Mus musculus: one gene and its partners. The protein of the gene in region 1 purifies or fractionates together with the protein of each later gene. This does not show direct contact. Links are inferred from orthologs where the notes say so. Each region holds a gene or a part of one and is shown in the gene's direction. Other genes may lie near its edges.

Region 1 (4,105 bases):
ACCGGGGAAGAAAACAAAACAAAAAAAATCGATTTCCTTTCCTCCAACAGTGTCTCTTTGGCGCCCTCTGCTGAGAAAAGGGGGAAACACAGCAGCACCACTTCAAAGAAAAAAAAAATCTTGGAAGGGCCCAGAAATGTCTCCCCCTTAGACATTTTTACACTCTGTAGTCCTAGCTGACCCGGAACTCGCTGAGTAGAGTAGAGTAGGCGAGTCTCGAACTGGCAGAGATCCCCCCTGCCTCTGGTATTAAAGATGTGCGCCAGTATGTTTTGCTTGCCTGAAACTCCTCCTGCTTTGGTCTCCCAAGTGCAACCACCCACGCCGGCTTATACTTTCGCACAGCGGTAGTGAACTTGCCACTGAGAGTGAGTGAGTTCATAGCTAGCATGTGTTGACACATTCCTTACATGTTTCTTTTTTTTTTTTTTTGATATTTTCCCATGGCTCACACTGCCACCGGAAATCAGTCTCATTTTAGAGATTAATTTAATTTGAACTCATTTCAACCCATGTTAGATGGCCACGTATGTGACGTACACAAGCCCTGGACAACAAGGATCGGTATCCAAGAAAAGAAAAAAAAAAAACAAAACAAAACGAAACTAAACAACAAAACAAAACAAAACAAAACGGCTTTGATCTCAACACAGAGGCAGAGGCAGAGAGACAGGAGAATCTCTTGTGAGTTCGAGGCCAGCCTGGTGTACAAAGCAAGTCCGGGACAGCCAGGGCTCTGTTACACTGAGAAACCCTATCTCGAAAAACCAAAAAAAAAAAAAAAAAAAAAAAAAAAGGTAAAAAGGGCTAGCTCAGCGGTTAAGAGCACTGACTGCTCTTCCAAAGGTCCTGAGTTCAAATCCCAGCCACCACATGATGGCTCACAGCCATCCGCAGTGAAATCTGATGCCCTCTTCTGGTGCATCTGAAGACAGCTACAGTGTACTTACATTAAATAAATAAATAAATAAGGAAAAAAAAAACCAAAAAAACAAACAAACCAAGTAGATCAGCGGACAGTCCAGTTCAGAAACAGGACGTAGCGGAGACGAGCGCGCGCACCGCTCTGGGGACTTGAAGGTGCCCAGAGGATTTATTTAGCACAGCCAGCTCGATCACGGGGACGCCTCAGGACGTTCCCCCAGCGCGACTCCACCAGACAGACCCTGGACCGCGGCCGCCACTCTGTGCCTCCTCCGGTGGCCCCGCCCCCGGGGCGCGCCCCCGCCCCTCCCCCGTCCGCGCGCTCGCCCGCCGGCCCGCTCGCTCGCTCGCGCGCGCCCCCGCCGCCGCCGCCGCCATTTTGGAGCGATCTCGCCCGCGGCCCCGAGCCGGTCCCGAGCGGGTCCCGAGCCTCCCGCCGGCTGCGCCCGAGTCCGAAGGCGCCGCGCCGCGGGGTCGGGCCCATGTGCGTGCGGCCCGCTCCAGGCCGTCCGCACTTCACCTCTGCGAGCGTCCTGGCCTCGCTTGGGCCTCCCTCGGAGGAGGAGTCGCTGCGACCCCCAGCCTGCTGGGCAGGTGAGTGCGGCCGCGCGCCCACCGCTTCCTGCGGCCCGGGGACAGGAGGGACACCCCCACCCCCCACCGCCTTCGGGCCGTCAGCGTCCTGCTGTCACTCAGCTTGTGCGGTCAGCGCCCTGTCAGTAGAGCAGCGCCTTTGTCACCCTGCGCTTCGTCAGGGGGTCAGCGCCTCCATCAGTCTGCTTCCCGGTCAGCCAGCACTCTCCACTGCCGTCATTCATTCATCCATCCATCCATCCATCCATCCATCCCTTCCCTTCCCTCAGCGCTCACCCTTCTTGACAGTCAACATCCCTTTTAGCTACTATCCCAGCTCCTGGCCTGTCAGTGGTCAGTTTTTCCCCACTCTCAGAATTAGTCTCAGCCTCTTAGTGGCCGCCTGGTTCTCTCCCTCCCAGTTGTCCACCTCTGCTCCTATCAAGGTCCCTCACCTCTGTCGGTGGCTGTAGAGGTGGGGCGGACCTTGGATACAGGGCCTGGGGAGTTGTCAGTGTTCCCTATCTCATCTTTGGGTTTTTTTTTTTTTTCCACCCTCCTCATCAGGGGCCCCGCTGGTGGTGACCTTTCCACCTATCAAGCGTTCCCTCCCCGCTCGCTCATCTCCTCCTACCAGTGCCCACTGCCAAGCGCTCGCTTTGTTATTGTCCTTTATTTCCATCCCATTCCTCTTCCGGGTCGTTCCCCAGTTGTCATCATCACCCACTGTCTTTCTCCCACTCCCCCCCCCCCCCCATCATCTTTTGCTTCTCCCATGCGCCTCTTCTTTCTGGAACTTCTTCACCTGCTACTTTGTATCCTCACAGCTGACTACTCACTTAGTGAAGGCTGTTTCCAATCTATTACGGAGCTCTTGCTGTTCGCTATCAGCTCTCAGTCCAGTCACTTTCCCCAATTCTCGCTTTCTGCTGTAGCCCCTCCCCGCAATTTGTCACCATCCTCAACCATGTCCCTAGGCCTTATTCCAGACAGGTTTTCAGGTTTTCACTGACACCTTCATCTGTGTCCTACCTGACAATGCTGCTTGCTGGCTTCTTACCATCTCATTCCATTCCCTATCCCCCCCCCCCCCTTTCCGGGACTGTTTTACTGTGTAGCCATAGATGTCCTGGAACTCTGGCCTTAAACTCCATAGAGATCCGCCTGCCTCTGCCTCCCTAGTGCTGGTATCAAAGGCGAGGGCTACTGTCACCCAGCTTCAGTCCTCATTCTTATCTCTTCACGCCTCTCTCCCTTTCTGTTTTTCTGAGACAGGGTCTTGCTATGGAGTCTTGGCTATCTATGTAGAGCAAGCTGGACTGAAACTCAGAGATTTGCCTACCTTTGCCTGGGATTAAAAGTTTTCCCAACCAAGTCTGATGTGTTCATCTCTTGATGTTCTTATGTTCTGGGTCAGCCCTTTGACCTCTCTGGTTCTCATGTGAGCTAAATAAGCTCTTGGAGGCAAAAAAGAGGCTATCGCCGGGCAGTGGTGGCGCACGCCTTTAATCCCAGCACTTGGGAGGCAGAGGCAGGCGGATTTCTGAGTTCGAGGCCAGCCTGGTCTACAAAGTGAGTTCCAGGACAGCCAGAGCTATACAGAGAAACCCTGTCTCGAAAAACAAACAAACAAACAAACAAAAAAAAAAAAAAAAAAAAAAAAAGAGGCTATCTTTTGTTTGTTTTTTTTCTAGACAGGGTTTCTTTGCGTAGTCCTGGCTGTCCTAGAACTAGCTCTGTAGACCTAGACCAGGCTGGCCTCAGACTCACAGAGATCCACCTGGCCTCTGCCTCCCAACTGATGGGATTAAAGTATGCTACCATTGCCCAGTAAGAAATTAGCTTTAAGGAGGAGGGTGGGAGAGCAGGCCAGAGCCTTTCAACACGGACATCGGGAGGAGATGGAAAGGGCCCAGATCTCTTGCAGGAACTAGATAATATTGGTGTGTCTAGGTTGGCTGAGAATGTTTGTCTTCTAGTCAGCCTTACAGCTTGAGGGGGGTGGGGGGTGAGGGGGGTGGTTCTAGGCTGGAGATTGAGTTGTGGGGCATTATGACTATCTGGATAGGAGGGGGTGTTGTGGTTCAAACCTCAGTAGTTAATTTAGGGAGGTATTTTGGAGGAAAAGCTGTTGAAGCTTCTTAGAGCCGTAAGTAACAATTGAAGAGGGGTATGAGAGAGTGAGAGAGCTCAGAGAGAGTCCCAGACTTCTCGGTAGAAGTGAAATGGCTGGGTAGTAGCATCGTCTAATTAAATGGAGAAGCTGGGTTGAGGCAGTGATAGATATGAGGGAATGGTTACATGTTAGAGAGAGCAAGCAAGGTTTTCCTTCGGCTGAGACTAGTGGGAAACTTCTAAGAAGCCCAGGGGCCATTAGGGAGAATGTATCTAACCGACAGATGTGAAACAGGAGAGGTTAGGCTGAACATACAATTTTGAGCAGGGAGATAATATTTAAAGCGTTGGGAATAGCTCTTTACTTAGTGCACATGATAAATGTGCTGAGTATTTCTTGTGTGCCATTGCATTTAGTATTGATTGATTCATTTATTTATTTGGAGACAAGGTCTCTCTCTGTAGCCTCAGCTGTTCTGGAACTTGCTATATA
Region 2 (3,946 bases), on another chromosome or scaffold:
GTTAACTAGCTGAACCACCTGCCCAGGCCCAACACTTTCTTGTTGGCTAATGGATATAGGCAGACCCGGTCCACTGTGGGTAGTACCATCCCTAGTCAGGTGGCCCTAAATTAGATAAGAGATCTGGTTAAGCTTGAGCCTGGGTTCATTCCTCCCTGGGTTCTTCGTTCAAGTTCAAGTCTGAGTTTCTGCCCTAAGTTTTCTCAAAGATGGACTAAACCCTTTCCTTCTTTTAGTTGGTTTGGTCATTGTTATCGTAGCAACACAAAGGAACTGGGGCTCATGATGTAGCCAGGACAGTTCTTGAATACACAATCCTCCTGCTTCAGGTTCCAGAGCGCAGGAATCTTATAAATGATTCACACCTGGCTCTAAAGCATCTTTTATAAATTGTACCCATCTATCAGTCTCCACTTTTCTTTCTCCCTCGGCCAACTGTCCCTGATTGGCTGCCTCTTTTGACCTCTCCAATGGGTGAGGGGGAGTTCCTCTCTACTGCCTTTTTACCGGGAGAAACAGTTACTACCCTAATCTGGCAGGGTAATTATGGAGTTGCTGTTGGGCTTAGAGGCCTTTCTTCAGCTGCCAAGTGTCCAGCTCTTCACGGAGGCTTCCTGAAGCAGGAGTCTTTTGAGATTTTTCTGCAGCTTAGCAATCTTGCTATTTTCTTTCTACCCAGTGGAGACTGGTTCTGGGGCCATCTATAAGTCTCGGGTCGCCACACTCCGAGTTTCCACTATCTCTGGGGTACTTGGGGGTGTGAGTACGGTCGGAGGCGTCCGCTCTACCGGAGCATTGTGGGCTGGGTGAGCTCTCGCCCGCTGTTTGGTCCTGGGCTCGGGAGTCACTGGGGGAGCGAGACCCGACTCCGTGCCATGGGCCTGCGAGAGACCCCTCGGGCCGCCCGACTGCAACGGAGGGCACAGCGCGGTCCGCTGGCGGAGCTGCGGAACCCGCGCGCGGGGTAGGGGGAGCCCGGGCCGCCCTGGCCGTCCTGGCGCGGGGCGAGGGCGCCGAGGCCTGGGCAGCCTGCGCGGACAGCGAGCACCCCGAGGCCCGGCCAAGGCTCGCCGCCAGGGAGCGCTGCGGGCTCCCGCTCGCCCGCCCCCCGGTAGGCGGGGCCGCCCTCTCCCCGCAGCCGCCGCCGCAGCCGCCGCCTGGGCCGCCCCGTGTCCCCGGTGGAGCCGCCGCCGCCGCTGCCGCCGCTGCCGCGAGCTCGATGCGGACGGAGCCTGGGCCGGGCCATGGGGATCCTCAGCATCACGGACCAGGTCAGCCCTCCCACCCTTCCCCACTTCCTCTTCCCAGGCCCCGGCACCGCCGCCACGCGAGCCCGGGGATGTGCGGCCTAGGCTGGGCCCGAGCCCGGGGTTCCCGCGGCTCCCGCCGCGCCCCACGCCGTGCTCCACTCCGTGGAGCGGGTGTCCTTGGGGGCCTGGCGACCGGTGGGGGCACGGCGGGAATCCGCTGCAGCCAGGACCCCTGTAGCGGAGCCCCTCCAGCGACGCCCCCCTCCAACCTGTGTGCTCCCCCACCTCCTGGTAACGCCGTGGCTCGGGCCCGCTCCCTGAAAGCTGGTTCTCCCTGCAGCCGCCCCTGGTCCAGGCCATCTTTAGCCGAGATGTGGAGGAAGTGCGTTCCCTCCTCTCGCAGAAGGAGAACATCAATGTACTGGTGAGTTGGGAGCAGGGAGGATGGCGAGCCGGAATCCGGAGGGGTTCGGGACCCCTCCCCACAAGTGGGGCGGCTCCGTTTCTCCTCTGCTCTGATGAAACTGCAGCTCTTTCTACCCAGAAATGGGAGCCTGCTCCGCATTTAAGGTTGGTCAGGCATGGAGCACCGATCATGGGTTCTGGGGATGCCCAGAAAACCCTGTCCCCTTCTCAACCATCGGGGTCTGCAGCGCCCCCACCCCTCCGGGAAGGAGTAGGTTTCTTGGTCGGTAGCCCTGACTCCACCCTCCCAGGATGCTGGCTTTTGAAGCCCGATATTGGGATTTAAGACCCTGCAGAAGAACCTAGAGGAAGGGAAGGGCTTGGAGTTCTCATACTAGAACTGGCGTTCAGGATAATTTCTCTCTACAGCTGCTTCTCTTTTCTGCCTTTCCAGGACCAAGAGAGGCGAACCCCATTGCATGCTGCTGCCTACGTAGGCGATGTCCCCATCCTCCAGTTGCTACTGATGTCAGGTGAAAGTGGGGAGCTGGGAGGTGCGGCATCTAGGGAGGGGAGAAGTCTTTTTAGATCCGAGGATTGATTGCTGGTGCTTGGTACAAGAATGGCTTTCTGTCCGTTCAGGTTCCCCACTCTGATTATTGGTTTCCTTCCCTCCCCCTCCTCAAATCCCAACAAAATAGCAAATTGTGTCCACACAGGTGCTAACGTCAACGCTAAGGACACACTGTGGCTGACCCCTCTTCATCGTGCCGCTGCCTCCCGAAACGAGGTACAGACCCTACCTCATTTCTCCCTTTCAAAAAGGATGGGCTGAGGGCTAGAGAAACTCAGTTCTCTGCCCTACAGACTCTTCTGCCCCACACAGGGAGGAGACCAGAGTTTGGCTTCTCCTTCCTGCCCCTAGAACTGGCTGGGGGGGGGGGGGCTGAGTGCTGCCAGCTGATGTGACGTCAGGGAGAGAGCTTAACACTGGGCTGGCAGACTGCGGGGGCCCTGCTGCCAGGCCTGAGTGACTCATCCCTCCCTGGGGGCCACCTTAAGTCTGATCCCCCTCTGGGCACTGAGATTTCTCTCCTTGTGATGGGGTGGGGAGTAGCAATTCTGTGTCCTTGCCCCTCGAGCAACATTTAAGTTGACTGCCTAAGGGCCCAAACTCATATGGAGTCCTGTACAATGGTGTTATCAACCCTGAAGAGGAAGGGAAGGCCTCTTTGATCTCCCATCACTTCCTTGGCTCCAGCTCCCAGGGGGAGAGAGCTTAAGGCCAGTGGGAATGGTGTGGGACATGTTTAACGGGAACATTGAATTTCGAAGGGGATCCAGTTATGCTTGTTTATTGGGGTTATATGATTTTGGTGTCTGTGGAAGGGCTAAGGGAAAGGATGTTTTTGCCATTAATACAGTGGGAGCCATTTGTTTTTCCTGGAATTAGGCTTGGGGTGTGTGGATTTGCCCAGGGTGGGTGTGAGTGGAGATTTTCGGGGACCTAAGTTGGAGGGTGGTAGATGCTAAGTGGCATGGGGAAGAGATCCCTGTTTTCCTCAGCAAAACAAAGATGTTTAAGCTCCAACAACCTCAGGTCTGGAGAGGCTAGGTGTGTAAAGGAAAGGAAGAGATACCATGCTAGGAAGATGGATGACTAGTCACCATACCAGCCCCTTCCTTCTGTCCTCTTATGTCACTTCCTGCTCCCCTCTGTCTTCTCTTGTCCCTTGCTCCACCACAGAAGGTGCTGGGGCTGCTGTTGGCACACTCAGCGGATGTGAATGCCCGGGACAAGCTGTGGCAGACACCACTGCATGTGGCTGCTGCCAACCGGGCCACCAAGTGTGCAGAGGCTCTGGCACCCCTGTTGAGCAGTCTCAATGTGGCTGACAGGAGCGGGCGCAGCGCTCTACACCATGCAGTACACAGTGGGCATCTTGAGGTGAGGAGCATTGCAGTCTAGACACAGTCTTCTCTCTGTTCCTTCTCACCCATAACTTACGTGCTTCCAGACCCAATGGGCAGGAGTGGCTCAGATAGTTATTTAGATACTGGGGCCCTGCCCCAGAGGAATGATTGTGTTAACCAGAGGGTTTTGTTGGGGGGGGGGGGATGTTTGTTTTTGAGATAGAGTCTCACTATGCATGCTTGTCTGGCCTGGAGCTTGCTATGTAGACAGCCTTGAACTTGAACTCACTGAGATCCCCCTGCCTCTGCTTTCTGAGTGCTCAGGTTAAAGGTACGCTAGCATCCACAGCTTATATTGAGTTTTTATTGATTTATTT
Region 3 (3,511 bases), on another chromosome or scaffold:
GGCAGCATATATGGGTATGTACCTTTTAAATTTGCTTTTGACTGTGTATTTAGGGGAATTAATGCATTTTGGTTTTTGCATTTCTGTATTTTTATATAACTGAGTTATGCAGTATCTGAGATTGCTGCCCAAGCAGACCAGGTAGAGGAGACGTGCTGCAGCAGTGCACTAGATCTAGTTTATAGAAATTTAGAAGAGGCATCGCAGATGGTGGCCTGGAATGGTTAACTTGCAGTGAGTGTTTACTGAAAGCTCATTCACATATCCATTCCTCTTTTACTGGATGATTAAAGTATGAGTTGTGAAGATGCATTGAGAAGTTGCATTTTACTAAACTGGAGGTAAAGCTGAAGCGTTGCTGTGTTTGCTTTGTATGCACAAGGCCTTGAGTTCAATCTCTGTCTCTGAAAAAACTAAACCCTATTATTATAAGCAGTGTGTGTGTTTTCACAGATGCACAGTATCATTCCTCAGGAATTCTTCACCTTATTTTCTGAGTCATGGCCTCTGACTAGGACCTAGGATTGTATTAGACAGACTAGCTAACGAGTCCAAGAGACCTACTTGTTCCCAGCTCCCCAGCACTGGCATTAGAAGTGCGCACTTCCACCCCTAAGGATACCATTTTAGTCACATATCCTATTTTGATGGCCAAAATCCGAAAATGTGATGTTTAGTGCCAAAAATAAGTGCCTCTTCTTATATAAGGAAAATCTTTCTTGTTAATTGAAGGTAAAATGCCAGGAGGGGTTTCATCCTGAAGTCTTTCACTCTGTGTGCAATCTTACATCCTTACGTCTCTGAAGACTTTCCTGAGTAATCTGTTGTAGGCTAATGATCGGGGCAGTTTAGAAACAGTGTATATGATTTTAAACAACACATTCTGTGTTTAAAAGGTATATGCACAGTAAGTGGAGTATAGTTGGCCTTTCACTTGGAAGGAATTAGGTTTGACATAACAGACTTTCATGAAATGAAAGCCAGAATAATATTGTTTGAAGTTGAGCTTCTGAAATAGTTAAGTATGTGGTCCTCAGTCTGGGCCTTAGCATGGATTGCTTGTCCTCGGTATAGATGATTATGATTAAAAGGGTATTCTATGCTTTGAAGATAGCAGTACATGCTTGATCTACCTTGTGTTGCTATAACAGAATACCCAAACTTAGGTAATTTATTCTGAGCAGAATTTCATTTCTTTCAAATTTTGGAGCTTTGGCAGTCCAAGTGAGGGTTCTGTCATCTGGTCAGTACCTCCCTTCTTGCTGTGTCATGCCATGACCTGACAGAGCACATCATCACAAGGTAAAAGGGAAAGAAGGAGATGTTAAATGACCTTGAGATAGAGGAACAAGATCTAGTCAAGGTTAACACTAGAAGTAAATTGTATTGTTTTTAGTTATTCTCTCTACCAATATTTTTCAAAAATAATCTGAATTCGTCTTGAATTCATTATGCATTAGAAAATTAATGTGCTATTTTATATTTAATAATTTCTATGTGCTAATGGTTTTTTGCTTGTTTCTTTGGTTTTTTTTTGTTGTTGTTTGTTTTATGTATTTTTAGGTCACATTGAAGTAGTAAAATTACTTGTATCTCATGGAGCTGAAGTGACATGTAAGGATAAGAAGTCTTACACACCTCTTCATGCAGCAGCCTCTAGTGGAATGATCAGTGTAGTCAAATATCTTCTAGATCTTGGAGTTGATGTAGGTATATAGCTTGAGCAGTATAAATTCATGTATTCTGTGTTTTGTTATTCTGTTATCAGAACTTAGGTTTGAAAGATAACAGTAATATCTTTGTCCTCTTACCAAGTCTTTCTAACTCTTCACTAGCTAGTATACTGCTATGATCAGTACATGTATCTAGTGAGGATTGCCATCCTGTGATGAAACACCATGACCAACAGCAACCTGGGGAGAAGGGAGTTCATTCAGCTTATGCTTCCATGTCACTTCCATCACCAAAGGAAGTCAGAACAGGATCCTGGAGGCAGGAACTGGTCCAGAAGCCATGGAGGAGTACTGCTTACTGGCTTGCTCATACATAGCTTGCTCATCTCACTTTCTCTTAAACCCTGGATGACCATCCCAGGGATGACATCACTCACAATGGGCTGGGCCCTGTCATCAATCATCAATTAAAAAAAATGAACTATAGATTTGTATATAGCCCAGTTTTATGGAGGCAGTTTCTCAATTGAGGTTCCTTCCTCTAAGATGACTCTTGATTGTGTCAAGGTGACATAAAATTAGCCAGTATAATTAGACAAACTATGTAAAGAGTTAAAACCTATTCCAAAGATGAGTGATTTACCCAAAGTTTCTTTTTTTAGTTCCTGTAGCTCTGTTTCTTCCAGTTCTCTGGGTGCTAGCAGATCAGATACATGTTGACTAGGTAGCTGTGTTATTGTCAGTTTTCTGAGCCAGTAAGTCTAACTTTACTTTAAGTGACTATAGAATAATGGGATACTGGCAAATGCAAGAGAGGAAGACAACAAAAGATGTATTTATTATACGTATATATAAATAAAAATGTGTGTGTGTACTATAAACACTATATAAGCACTGTATAGTACTACCATTCTTTTTGGCTAGGAAGGGATACTAATCTCTTGGTATATATTTGATGCCTAAATAAAAATCCATCTAGCTTTTATGTATCATTTTAAAAACATGTCCTTTACTCCCACTTGTAATAGATTTACTCTTTTGGTTTGGGGGACAGTCTCATTGTATAGCCCAAGTTGGCCTCAAATTTGGAATCCTTCTGTCTCAATTTGCAAGTGCTTGCATAATAGGTGTGTGCCACTCTCCCTGCTCTAATGTTATTTACTCTTATTGTAGGAACATGTGAGTTAAGCTTACCAATTTTTCAAAGCAGTAGATAAGGAGAAAGGAGAGAACAAAGAGAGGAAGACTATAAGGTCTTAATTGCAAAAGCTGTCAAAAAGCTTGTGATTCTAGTTAGACAAGACATGACAGGACTATGAGAAACACTTTACTGAAAACAAGGAATACATGGAAAATGTGGGAATTAGAAGAAGTTGCAAAACACCCAAACATATTGTTGAATGGGACCCCGAGAAGTACAAGATGGCTTCAAGTTTCAGTTTGCTAACAGTTCTTGTAGCTCTCTTTCAACCAATTAGCATAATGGCTTTAGTGGCCCTCTGAAATAGATGACCGAGGTATGCTTGCCTCCAATCACCATTTATAGTGAATTCTCTCTTAGCTCAAAGACTTTTGAAAATCCATTATTTTTCTTTTCTTAAAATAACTCTTGTGGAAGAATTTAACATTGTATTATGAAGCACATTCTCTAAGTGTATGTAGCCCATATAAAACTAAGTTGCTTATTGTTAGGTCTATTATTGTAAAACAACTTTAGCATTATAAACCTCATGTCTGTATTTATCCCTTTTTCTATTACTAGTAATTTAAAGTAGCTTATAGTAGTAATAGAATTCCCATTCCCATTTTTTCCTCTAGATGAATGAACCAAATGCCTA
Region 4 (3,511 bases), on another chromosome or scaffold:
ATTCGCGAGTGGTTAAGGAAGCGGGGTTTGAGTCGGTCGAGTCCTCCCTTAGGGCGCGTGCACAATAAGGCAGCTTCAGCCGCCTCCCCTTTACTTTACTTATTAAAGAGTTGTTTATATATTTATATCTTTTGTGGATGAATGTTTGCCTGCATGTAGCCAGAAGAGAGGGTCAGATCTGGCTCTGGAGTTATAGGTGGTTGTGAGTCACCGCGTGGATGCTGGGAATGGGAGCCAGAGCCTCTGAGAGGGCAGGCAGTGCTCTTGACTGCTCAGTCCTCTCTCTGCCCCCCATTCCCATTTGTCATACAAGATATTAGGGGTTTTGTTAGACTGCAAAGGACACTTGGTTCTTGGGGTAGCAGCAGCCTTTCCTGAAGCCATAACGCCTGTCTTCTCTCCATCTCAGACCACTGTTCCCTTCGGTCCGAAACGCGTCTTGGTGACTGAGCAGATTCCGTCTCAGAACCTAGGATCTGCTAGCAGTGGCCAGGCCCAGCGGGTCCTGTGTCCTTCTAACTCCCAGCGTGTCCCTTCACAAGCCCAGAAACTTGGAGCAGGTCAGAAGCCGGCACCAAAGCAGTTGCCAGCTGCCAGTGTTCCTAGGCCTGTGTCCCGGCTCAATAACCCCCAGAAGAATGAGCAGCCTGCAGCCTCCGGTAAGTGGTCTTGGGTGCTCAAATGCATAGCTTGGCGTTTATCCTTGATGTCCTAGCCTCTGTACCATGTCTGTTGAGGAGGAGAGAAAGAATGAGATCTCCATGCTCAGGTGTATGTCACACATGTCAGTGTGTCTGGGTTTGGGCTCCACCAGTGCTGGGATGCAGATACCATTGCTGGCCAAGCTCGCAGATGTCCTCTGCCCGGAGCAGAAGGAAATGTTGGATGTAATGGAGAGACTTCTGGGTTCCCAGGGCCTGGGAGGGAGGAGTTCCCCAGCATGGAGAGGGGAGTTGGAGGGTCCTTCCTGACAGGCTAGCTGGCAGAGGAGATGAGTTGGCTAGAGGAGGGAGGGAGCCAGGTGAGGTGGTAAGGGGGATGTTGGACTTTTCATTACATTACATGTCCAGGCTCACAAGTTCAGTCATAATTAGAAAATACAAACAGAGCACCACCTCCTCCCCCATCCCCCCTCCTCCTCCTTCTTCCCCCTCCTTTTCCTCCTCTTCTTCCTCTCCTCTTCCTCCTCTCCTCCTCCTCCTCCTCCTTCTCCTTCTTCTTCTTTTTGGTTTTTCGAGATAGGATTTCTCTGTGCAGCCCTGGCTGTTCTGGAACTCACTCTGTAGACCAGGCTGGCTTCGAACTCAGAAATCCGCCTGCCTCTGCCTCCCAAGTGCTGGGATTAAAGGTGTGCGCCACCACTGCCCAGCAGATTCTTCTTATTAACCTATAACTTCAATTTAAAGACTCTAAAGAATGTCACCTCCAAAACAAACACATTTGTTATATGACATCCTACTTTTAAGATGGCAGTGTTTGCTGTTTGAAAGCACTCCAGACAGACAGAGAATATCTGAACCCATCTTTTCATGAGCAAATACTAATGCCCAACTTCTTTTACTGTTTCACCATCTACACTATAAAGTAGGACAAGCCCCTTTCAGTCAGTCTATTTACTGAGTTTTATTCCTTTAGGAGTGTACCCTGCATGACTCCCTATTTTTAAACTTCATTTTTAGAGACCTCTAAGCCTATACTAAAAAGAGATGTTGAATCCGTAGCCTGTTCTCCTACCCAGTCAGAGTTTGTCAGTTGTCTCTGTTTGCCCTGCATCAATTATACTGTTTGAGTTTGCTCAGGGGCAGATAGCCCAGGAAGGTTCCTGGAGTGATGGCCTCATCTAGCTATGTACTTATCTGTGCTTAATGATCTCCAGGGCATTAGGAAGACTTCCAAATAGTGACCAGATAAAGTTAATTTTAGGATTCCTCAAAAGACTCAGACATAGTTTTTTTCAGGAAGACACAAAAGGAATCCTAATGCAGAAAGTCCCTGCTAACATGGCAACCATAACCCCACACAATCACACAGAGACCAAATCTCAAAGGTTAGAGAGAGGACAGCGATTGCAGCCATTGGCTCAGCATTACTGGGCCTGGGTGGGTCAAGCAGCGTTGCAGGCTCCAGGACTTTCACTGTGTAGTGGGTTTGGCTGTGTCAGAACCGGGCTGATGTTGGGATTGTTTGGCAGCTGGTGGGTGCTTACAGCGCCTCTGGGATTGCCTTGACCTGCATCCTCCCAGCCCTGGCAGGCACTCACGTAGACAGCATGTTACACAGAAGAGACTAAAACGCAGCAGTTAACTTAGCCCAGGACAACTCCAGAAAGGAGAGGCACGGGCAAACCTGCCACTTCGTTTAGGAAGCAGATGCAAGACCAGTGCGTGATAAGACCTGAAAGATGGGATGGGAGGAGATAGCTGTAGCAGTGTAAGGAGGGAGAGAACTCAGGCTGGGCCTCATGAAGAAAAACAGTCTGTACAAATGAGTCAAGGCAGACAGCTAAGTCTGGAGAAAACCCATGTGAATCGAGTGCATATGTACTAGTCACAAAGCAGGAAACCGGAAGGGGCAGATGGCTGAAGCTTATGTAGTATCATTCAGCAAGGGAGAGATGCTCCAGCAAGCTCTGAGGGCAGAGGAGCAGATGGAGGCAAAGGAAGCCAGTGCTGCCCTCAGACCCACCTCTCAGCTGGGCCACTGTCACTCCACCATCCGAAACACACTCGGCTGGAGTGGATTTTGGGTGGCTTCTTCTGGTTTCAAGTCCTGTTTGGGGTCATTGTGAAAGTAAGTTTTATTCACCTGAAGTAATTGTCGTCTGGGAAGCTTACTCCGTCTGCTAACCTGGGCCTGGGCCTGGAAACTCCCAGCCTCTGTGTAATCTAGTCTAGGCCTAGGACTGTCTGGCCTCTCAGATCTCCTGCAGAACACGCTTACCGTTCTAGCTCTTTCTGAACTCTATTGGTTGGTGTAACTCAGCTGTCCTGGCTCAAACTCCTGTCCAAGCTGACGGATTCAATCTGGCTTCTCTTAGTTTCTTACTGAATTGCTTAAAAGAACTTTATTTAACTTATTTCCTAGGAAATGATTCTGAAAAGGAGCAGGCATCCTTGCAGAAGACCGAAGACACAAAAAAGTAAGCTTGCTGTCTCTGCTACGAGAGCACCCGTCGGGCTGTGCGACACTTGTCTTCATGCCATCCCCACTAAACTCAAACTTAGCAGGGGCTCAAAAGTAGTTCTTTTTATTTCCTTAATTACTTTTTCATAGAAGATTTTTGTTAAAACTTTATTTTAAAAAGTAGTAAAAACAAACCAAAAAAAAAAACCCAAACAAAAAACCAAAAACCTGCCAAAGATGCTACAATCCCATGAACTTGTACACAATTTGGATAGTAATTTGGAGTGGCCTGTTGGCCCTTCCCTGCTCCTACCAGTGACAGTGGCTCTGTGTTTCCCACCAGAGTGACTCTCGAACCCACAGCCTGTTAGCTTCTCTGGGGATGCAG
Region 5 (4,303 bases), on another chromosome or scaffold:
CATGTTCTCTGACACGCAGAAGCGTGTGCGCATGTGTGTGCGCGTCTAGCCTAGAATTCAGAGGCCTGCCTGCCTGTTTTCCCCAGCACTGGGATTGAGGGTGCATGCCCACTCCTGGCAAGCTTAAGTTTTTGGAGACAAAGCTCTGCCTTATTCAGAAAGTACAATCGTTACCCAGAGACTGGGAAAGACAGCAGCACTGCCATTTTTTGCTCAATCCAGCAATTGGATCTTGCTAAGACCCTCCTGGGGGAACTAGAGCAACAACAGCTTCTAACGGAAGGTATCACTTAAGTGCCCAGATAGGCAGGGGGGCAAAGAGGGTGTCTGGGAACAGTGACCAGAGCTGGCCGTTTTTTTCTATGAAAAGCCACACGCCTGCTCTGTGTGGCCACTCTTTTTACATGTTGTAAATCCATTTTTTTTTTTTTTTCGAGACAGGGTTTCTCTGTATAGCTCTGGCTGTCCTGGAACTCACTTTGTAGACCAGGCTGGCCTTGAACTCAGAAATCCGCCTGCCTCCCCAGTGCTGGGATTAAAGGTGTGTGCCATTACGCCCCGGCTCATTTTTTTTTTTTCCTAAGTGAAGGCTGAACGGACACTTCGGCAGGGCAGACTTGGCCTTGGTATACCGGCATGCTAGCACTCTTCTAACCAGCTACCCCCCCACCTCTGACTAAAAAATTAATTTTTTCTATTTGGGGCTCTGGGCCACACAACTTGGAACAACCCAGGTAACCTTGCATCGCGGGGCAGACGTCCGGTGTTTCTTACATATCACAGGGCATAGGAATCATCTGAAGGTCTTGTTTGACCGGCAGGTCATGCCTGGGAAGTTTCTTTCCTTTGGGGTTAGTGGAGCGGTAGCTGAGGCTGATCTCGGCTAACTTGTAATCCTGAACCCACGCCCCTCCTTTGCCTTCTTAGGGAATTCCAGGTGCTGCAGATGCTGCTGGCCTCCTGCGTTGTTCAAGAGAAGGGTTGAGTTACTTCTCAGGGGCTGGGAGCCCCTAGTGCCACAGAGGAGATCGGTCCGTTGCGCCGTGAAGGTGCATCTGCCTGCTGAGCTTGCTCAGTTTTGGGTTTATTTAGGCTAGCCGGGGAGAGGGCTGTCCACCGCGGAGGCGGTGCACTCTCAAGCTACCGGTTGGCCTGGAGTTTCAGTTCTAGAAGGCCGGGTCCGGTGGAGGAAGGTGTTAGATCTTAACAGTTAGGAGAAGCCCCTGGAGGAGGCGCAGGTGAACCACATGAGCACGCCCCAGCCGAGGAGCAGAAAGCAGGACAGAATCCTGTTCTTCTAGGGATCTTCACGTAGTTGCTTCGTTCCTGGTTTCCCAGGCAATCCTGAGCAAACGCAGTCCTCCAGTCCCTGCCCATTAAAAATTTCGCCGGCAAGATCGGAGTTTAAAGGCGGCTGCGCCGTAGAGCACTCCCATGGTGCCGCGCGCTGGGCGGGTTTGTATTTTAAATCCCCGCGGCCAATCAGCAACGCGCAGGCCCTTGTAACGTTCCCAGCGCCGCGTTTGAATTCGGGGAGGAGCGGAGCAGAGCAGGACCCTCTGCACCGACTCAGCCAGGTTCGTGGAGCAACTTCGGCATCATGAATGCAGCGGCCAAAGCTGGAAAGCTGGCTCGAGCACCAGCCGACCTCGGGAAAGGTGGGGTTCCGGGAGATGCAGTTCCCGGTGCCCCAGTGGCCGCCCCGCTGGCGAAAGAAATTCCGGAGGTCCTAGTGGACCCACGCAGCCGGCGGCAGTATGTACGGGGGCGCTTTCTGGGTAAAGGAGGCTTCGCCAAATGCTTCGAGATCTCAGACGCAGACACAAAAGAGGTGTTCGCAGGCAAGATCGTGCCTAAGTCTTTGCTGCTCAAGCCCCACCAGAAGGAGAAGATGTCTATGGAGATCTCAATTCACCGCAGCCTAGCACACCAACACGTCGTAGGCTTCCATGACTTTTTTGAGGACAGCGACTTTGTATTTGTAGTTTTGGAGCTCTGTCGCAGGAGGGTGAGTGTTTCAGTCGCAGTGCTGGGGCTCCCACACCTGGAACTTGCTGACAAAGGGGCACCGAGGTTTTGGAGTGACCTAGAGGAGTGGTTGGGTTTCAAACTTTTATGGAAAGGCTTCTAGCGAGGGTACTTGGCACTCCGAACTGCTGAGGCCGGGGTTCTGGGGAAACCGAGACCAGATCCTGTTGCTATTAGGGATGGAGCTCCCAGACGCAAGGCAGCGAGTCGGTACAGGAAATGGATTCATAAAGTGGCTAAGGAAGGGTCCCAGGCTTGGTGTGCCACGCACCTCTAACTTCCGGAGTGGGGCAGGGTCGGGGGAGGGGGCGGCTGTTTGGAGTCAGATTTTAGAGCTTTCAGGAAAGGGAGGGAATCTCCTGCCAGGAGGAAGCCCTGGGTAGGGGAGTCGAGAGTGGGGTTGAGAGAAGACTCAGGAGAGGGTCTGGTGAATGATAGTGACCAACCAGTGTATGGGTAGAACTATCAGAAACCTGCTAAGACTCTCCACTCCGAGCGTCTAGTCCTAGCCACATCCAGCTAGCCACTCTTCTTGGACTTCAGTGACCTCTTTCTCCCTCCTCAGTCCCTCCTGGAGCTGCACAAGAGGAGGAAGGCACTGACCGAGCCTGAGGCCCGCTACTACCTGCGACAGATAGTCCTGGGCTGCCAGTACCTGCACCGCAATCAGGTCATTCACAGGGACCTCAAGCTGGGCAACCTCTTCCTGAACGAGGATCTGGAGGTGAAAATAGGTGAGGTGCTGGGCCTTCGGGTGTCTGGTGTCAGGGCAGGAGGGGACAAGGAGGGGAAGGTGAGGAAATAGAGATGCTGCCCTCTAGTTAGGAAGTGGAAAGTGTGTGTGTGTGTGTGTGTGTGTGTGTGTGTGTTTGTGTGTGTGTGACACTTTCCTTGCCTTTTTTTTAGATGCATTGGTGTTTATGCCTCAACTCAGTAGTTTTGAACTTGGGGCCCCTCCCCCAAATGCTTCTCTATAACCTAGCACTGAGCCAGACCCTCAGCCAATTTCAGGTCTGGACTTACGCTGTAGAGTATGGCAGGCAGCATCTCCTCAGGTGTCTCTTTACTAAGCTGAAAAACCTGCCCCCTTGAGTCTGATTGGCCAGTCCCTAGATCCCTGTCACTTCTCCACACACTTGCCCAGCAGCAGTCACGAAGATCATCTACTTGATTCCCCAGTGCATCTAATTCTGCTATCCTGTGCATTTTAAATTTCATTTACTTATGAATGGAGACAGGCTAACTTCAAGGAGTCAGTTCTTTCTTTCCACTGTGTGGGTCCCAGGATCGACGTAGATCATGTTATCAGTCTTGGCAGCAAGCCCCTTTACCTCCTGAGCCACCTTAACCACCGTAACCCTGCTATCTAAAGAGGTGTGTGGGAGGCTGGCTAGGGCCAGTACAGTGGAAGGGTTCAGGGACTCTGGGGCCTCAAGCCACTAGTTCTCAATGCTCAGGATCAAAACAGAGCTGCCTGCAACCACAGACAGCCCGGGCTTAGCAGCTGAGCACCCTCTCTTCTTTCCTCTGTCCCAGGGGATTTTGGCTTGGCAACCAAAGTGGAATATGAAGGGGAACGAAAGAAGACCTTGTGTGGCACTCCTAACTACATAGCTCCTGAGGTGCTGAGCAAGAAGGGACACAGTTTTGAGGTGGATGTGTGGTCCATTGGGTGCATCATGTAAGTTGGCAATGGCCTTGGCTCCTGGGCCTCAGCAGGGCTTTCTGAGGCTTCTCACCCAGTTGACTTTGCCATGTGAATCTTTCTACCTTATAGAAAGGCTGTTTTAGTGGACAGGCTGTCCCACATGAAACCCTGCTTTTCATATATCAGTCTGGCGTAGGCTGTTGGATTCCTGTAACTTGACTTGTTGGTCCAGGGAAGGGATCAAAAAGTCCCTGAACTTTTCCTCCTGGCCCTTGGTGCTTACTAAAAGTATGCACAGATCCAAACCATCAACACCTGAGAGCTTGTTAGGAATTCAGAATTTCAGATCTGAACCTGGGTTTAATACAATCCCTGCCTGACTTTCCATGGAGCATTGGAAGTCCTGCTGAGTGCTGAAGGGAGAACTAGGCCAGTAGAAAGCCTGGCGATAGGCAGAACCACCACGGTGGCCTGTGGTGGATAGCAGTGGCCTCTGGGGCACTGGGAGAGTCCTCGGTCACTGTAGGCCAGAGCCGTCAATTCCTGGCCCCTTGGTACACAGGTGTTGTCACTTGCATCCTTCTGAGGGCTTGTCCCAGCCTTTGGTTGCTGTGTCACTGGACTGAC

What was found.
Region 2: the proteins of Ppp6r2 (region 1) and Ankrd52 purify together in Homo sapiens (affinity purification with mass spectrometry; 3 studies listed by BioGRID and IntAct, counting the BioPlex papers as one, with this or other methods). This does not show direct contact. The link is inferred for Mus musculus from reciprocal best matches to the Homo sapiens genes PPP6R2 and ANKRD52.
Region 3: the proteins of Ppp6r2 (region 1) and Ankrd28 purify together in Homo sapiens (co-immunoprecipitation; 4 studies listed by BioGRID and IntAct, counting the BioPlex papers as one, with this or other methods). This does not show direct contact. The link is inferred for Mus musculus from reciprocal best matches to the Homo sapiens genes PPP6R2 and ANKRD28.
Region 4: the proteins of Ppp6r2 (region 1) and Aurka purify together in Homo sapiens (affinity purification with mass spectrometry; 4 studies listed by BioGRID and IntAct, counting the BioPlex papers as one, with this or other methods). This does not show direct contact. The link is inferred for Mus musculus from reciprocal best matches to the Homo sapiens genes PPP6R2 and AURKA.
Region 5: the proteins of Ppp6r2 (region 1) and Plk1 purify together in Homo sapiens (affinity purification with mass spectrometry; 7 studies listed by BioGRID and IntAct, counting the BioPlex papers as one, with this or other methods). This does not show direct contact. The link is inferred for Mus musculus from reciprocal best matches to the Homo sapiens genes PPP6R2 and PLK1.

Annotation. Positions count from the first base shown.
Region 1 is NC_000081.6:89,210,262-89,214,366, forward strand, and holds the start of Ppp6r2 (serine/threonine-protein phosphatase 6 regulatory subunit 2), read left to right. Parts: upstream 1-1,297; 5' UTR 1,298-1,518; intron 1,519-4,105. UniProt on the Homo sapiens protein: Regulatory subunit of protein phosphatase 6 (PP6). May function as a scaffolding PP6 subunit. Involved in the PP6-mediated dephosphorylation of NFKBIE opposing its degradation in response to TNF-alpha.
Region 2 is NC_000076.6:128,375,979-128,379,924, forward strand, and holds the start of Ankrd52 (serine/threonine-protein phosphatase 6 regulatory ankyrin repeat subunit C), read left to right. Parts: upstream 1-1,145; 5' UTR 1,146-1,244; coding exon 1,245-1,271; intron 1,272-1,590; coding exon 1,591-1,674; intron 1,675-2,109; coding exon 2,110-2,188; intron 2,189-2,374; coding exon 2,375-2,445; intron 2,446-3,402; coding exon 3,403-3,603; intron 3,604-3,946. UniProt on the Homo sapiens protein: Putative regulatory subunit of protein phosphatase 6 (PP6) that may be involved in the recognition of phosphoprotein substrates.
Region 3 is NC_000080.6:31,743,416-31,746,926, reverse strand, and holds part of Ankrd28 (serine/threonine-protein phosphatase 6 regulatory ankyrin repeat subunit A), read left to right. Parts: coding exon 1-14; intron 15-1,563; coding exon 1,564-1,706; intron 1,707-3,491; coding exon 3,492-3,511. UniProt on the Homo sapiens protein: Regulatory subunit of protein phosphatase 6 (PP6) that may be involved in the recognition of phosphoprotein substrates. Involved in the PP6-mediated dephosphorylation of NFKBIE opposing its degradation in response to TNF-alpha.
Region 4 is NC_000068.7:172,364,070-172,367,580, reverse strand, and holds part of Aurka (aurora kinase A), read left to right. Parts: intron 1-409; coding exon 410-659; intron 660-3,084; coding exon 3,085-3,139; intron 3,140-3,511. UniProt on the Homo sapiens protein: Mitotic serine/threonine kinase that contributes to the regulation of cell cycle progression.
Region 5 is NC_000073.6:122,157,943-122,162,245, forward strand, and holds the start of Plk1 (serine/threonine-protein kinase PLK1), read left to right. Parts: upstream 1-1,492; 5' UTR 1,493-1,600; coding exon 1,601-2,008; intron 2,009-2,593; coding exon 2,594-2,762; intron 2,763-3,564; coding exon 3,565-3,709; intron 3,710-4,303. UniProt on the Homo sapiens protein: Serine/threonine-protein kinase that performs several important functions throughout M phase of the cell cycle, including the regulation of centrosome maturation and spindle assembly, the removal of cohesins from chromosome arms, the inactivation of anaphase-promoting complex/cyclosome (APC/C) inhibitors, and the regulation of mitotic exit and cytokinesis.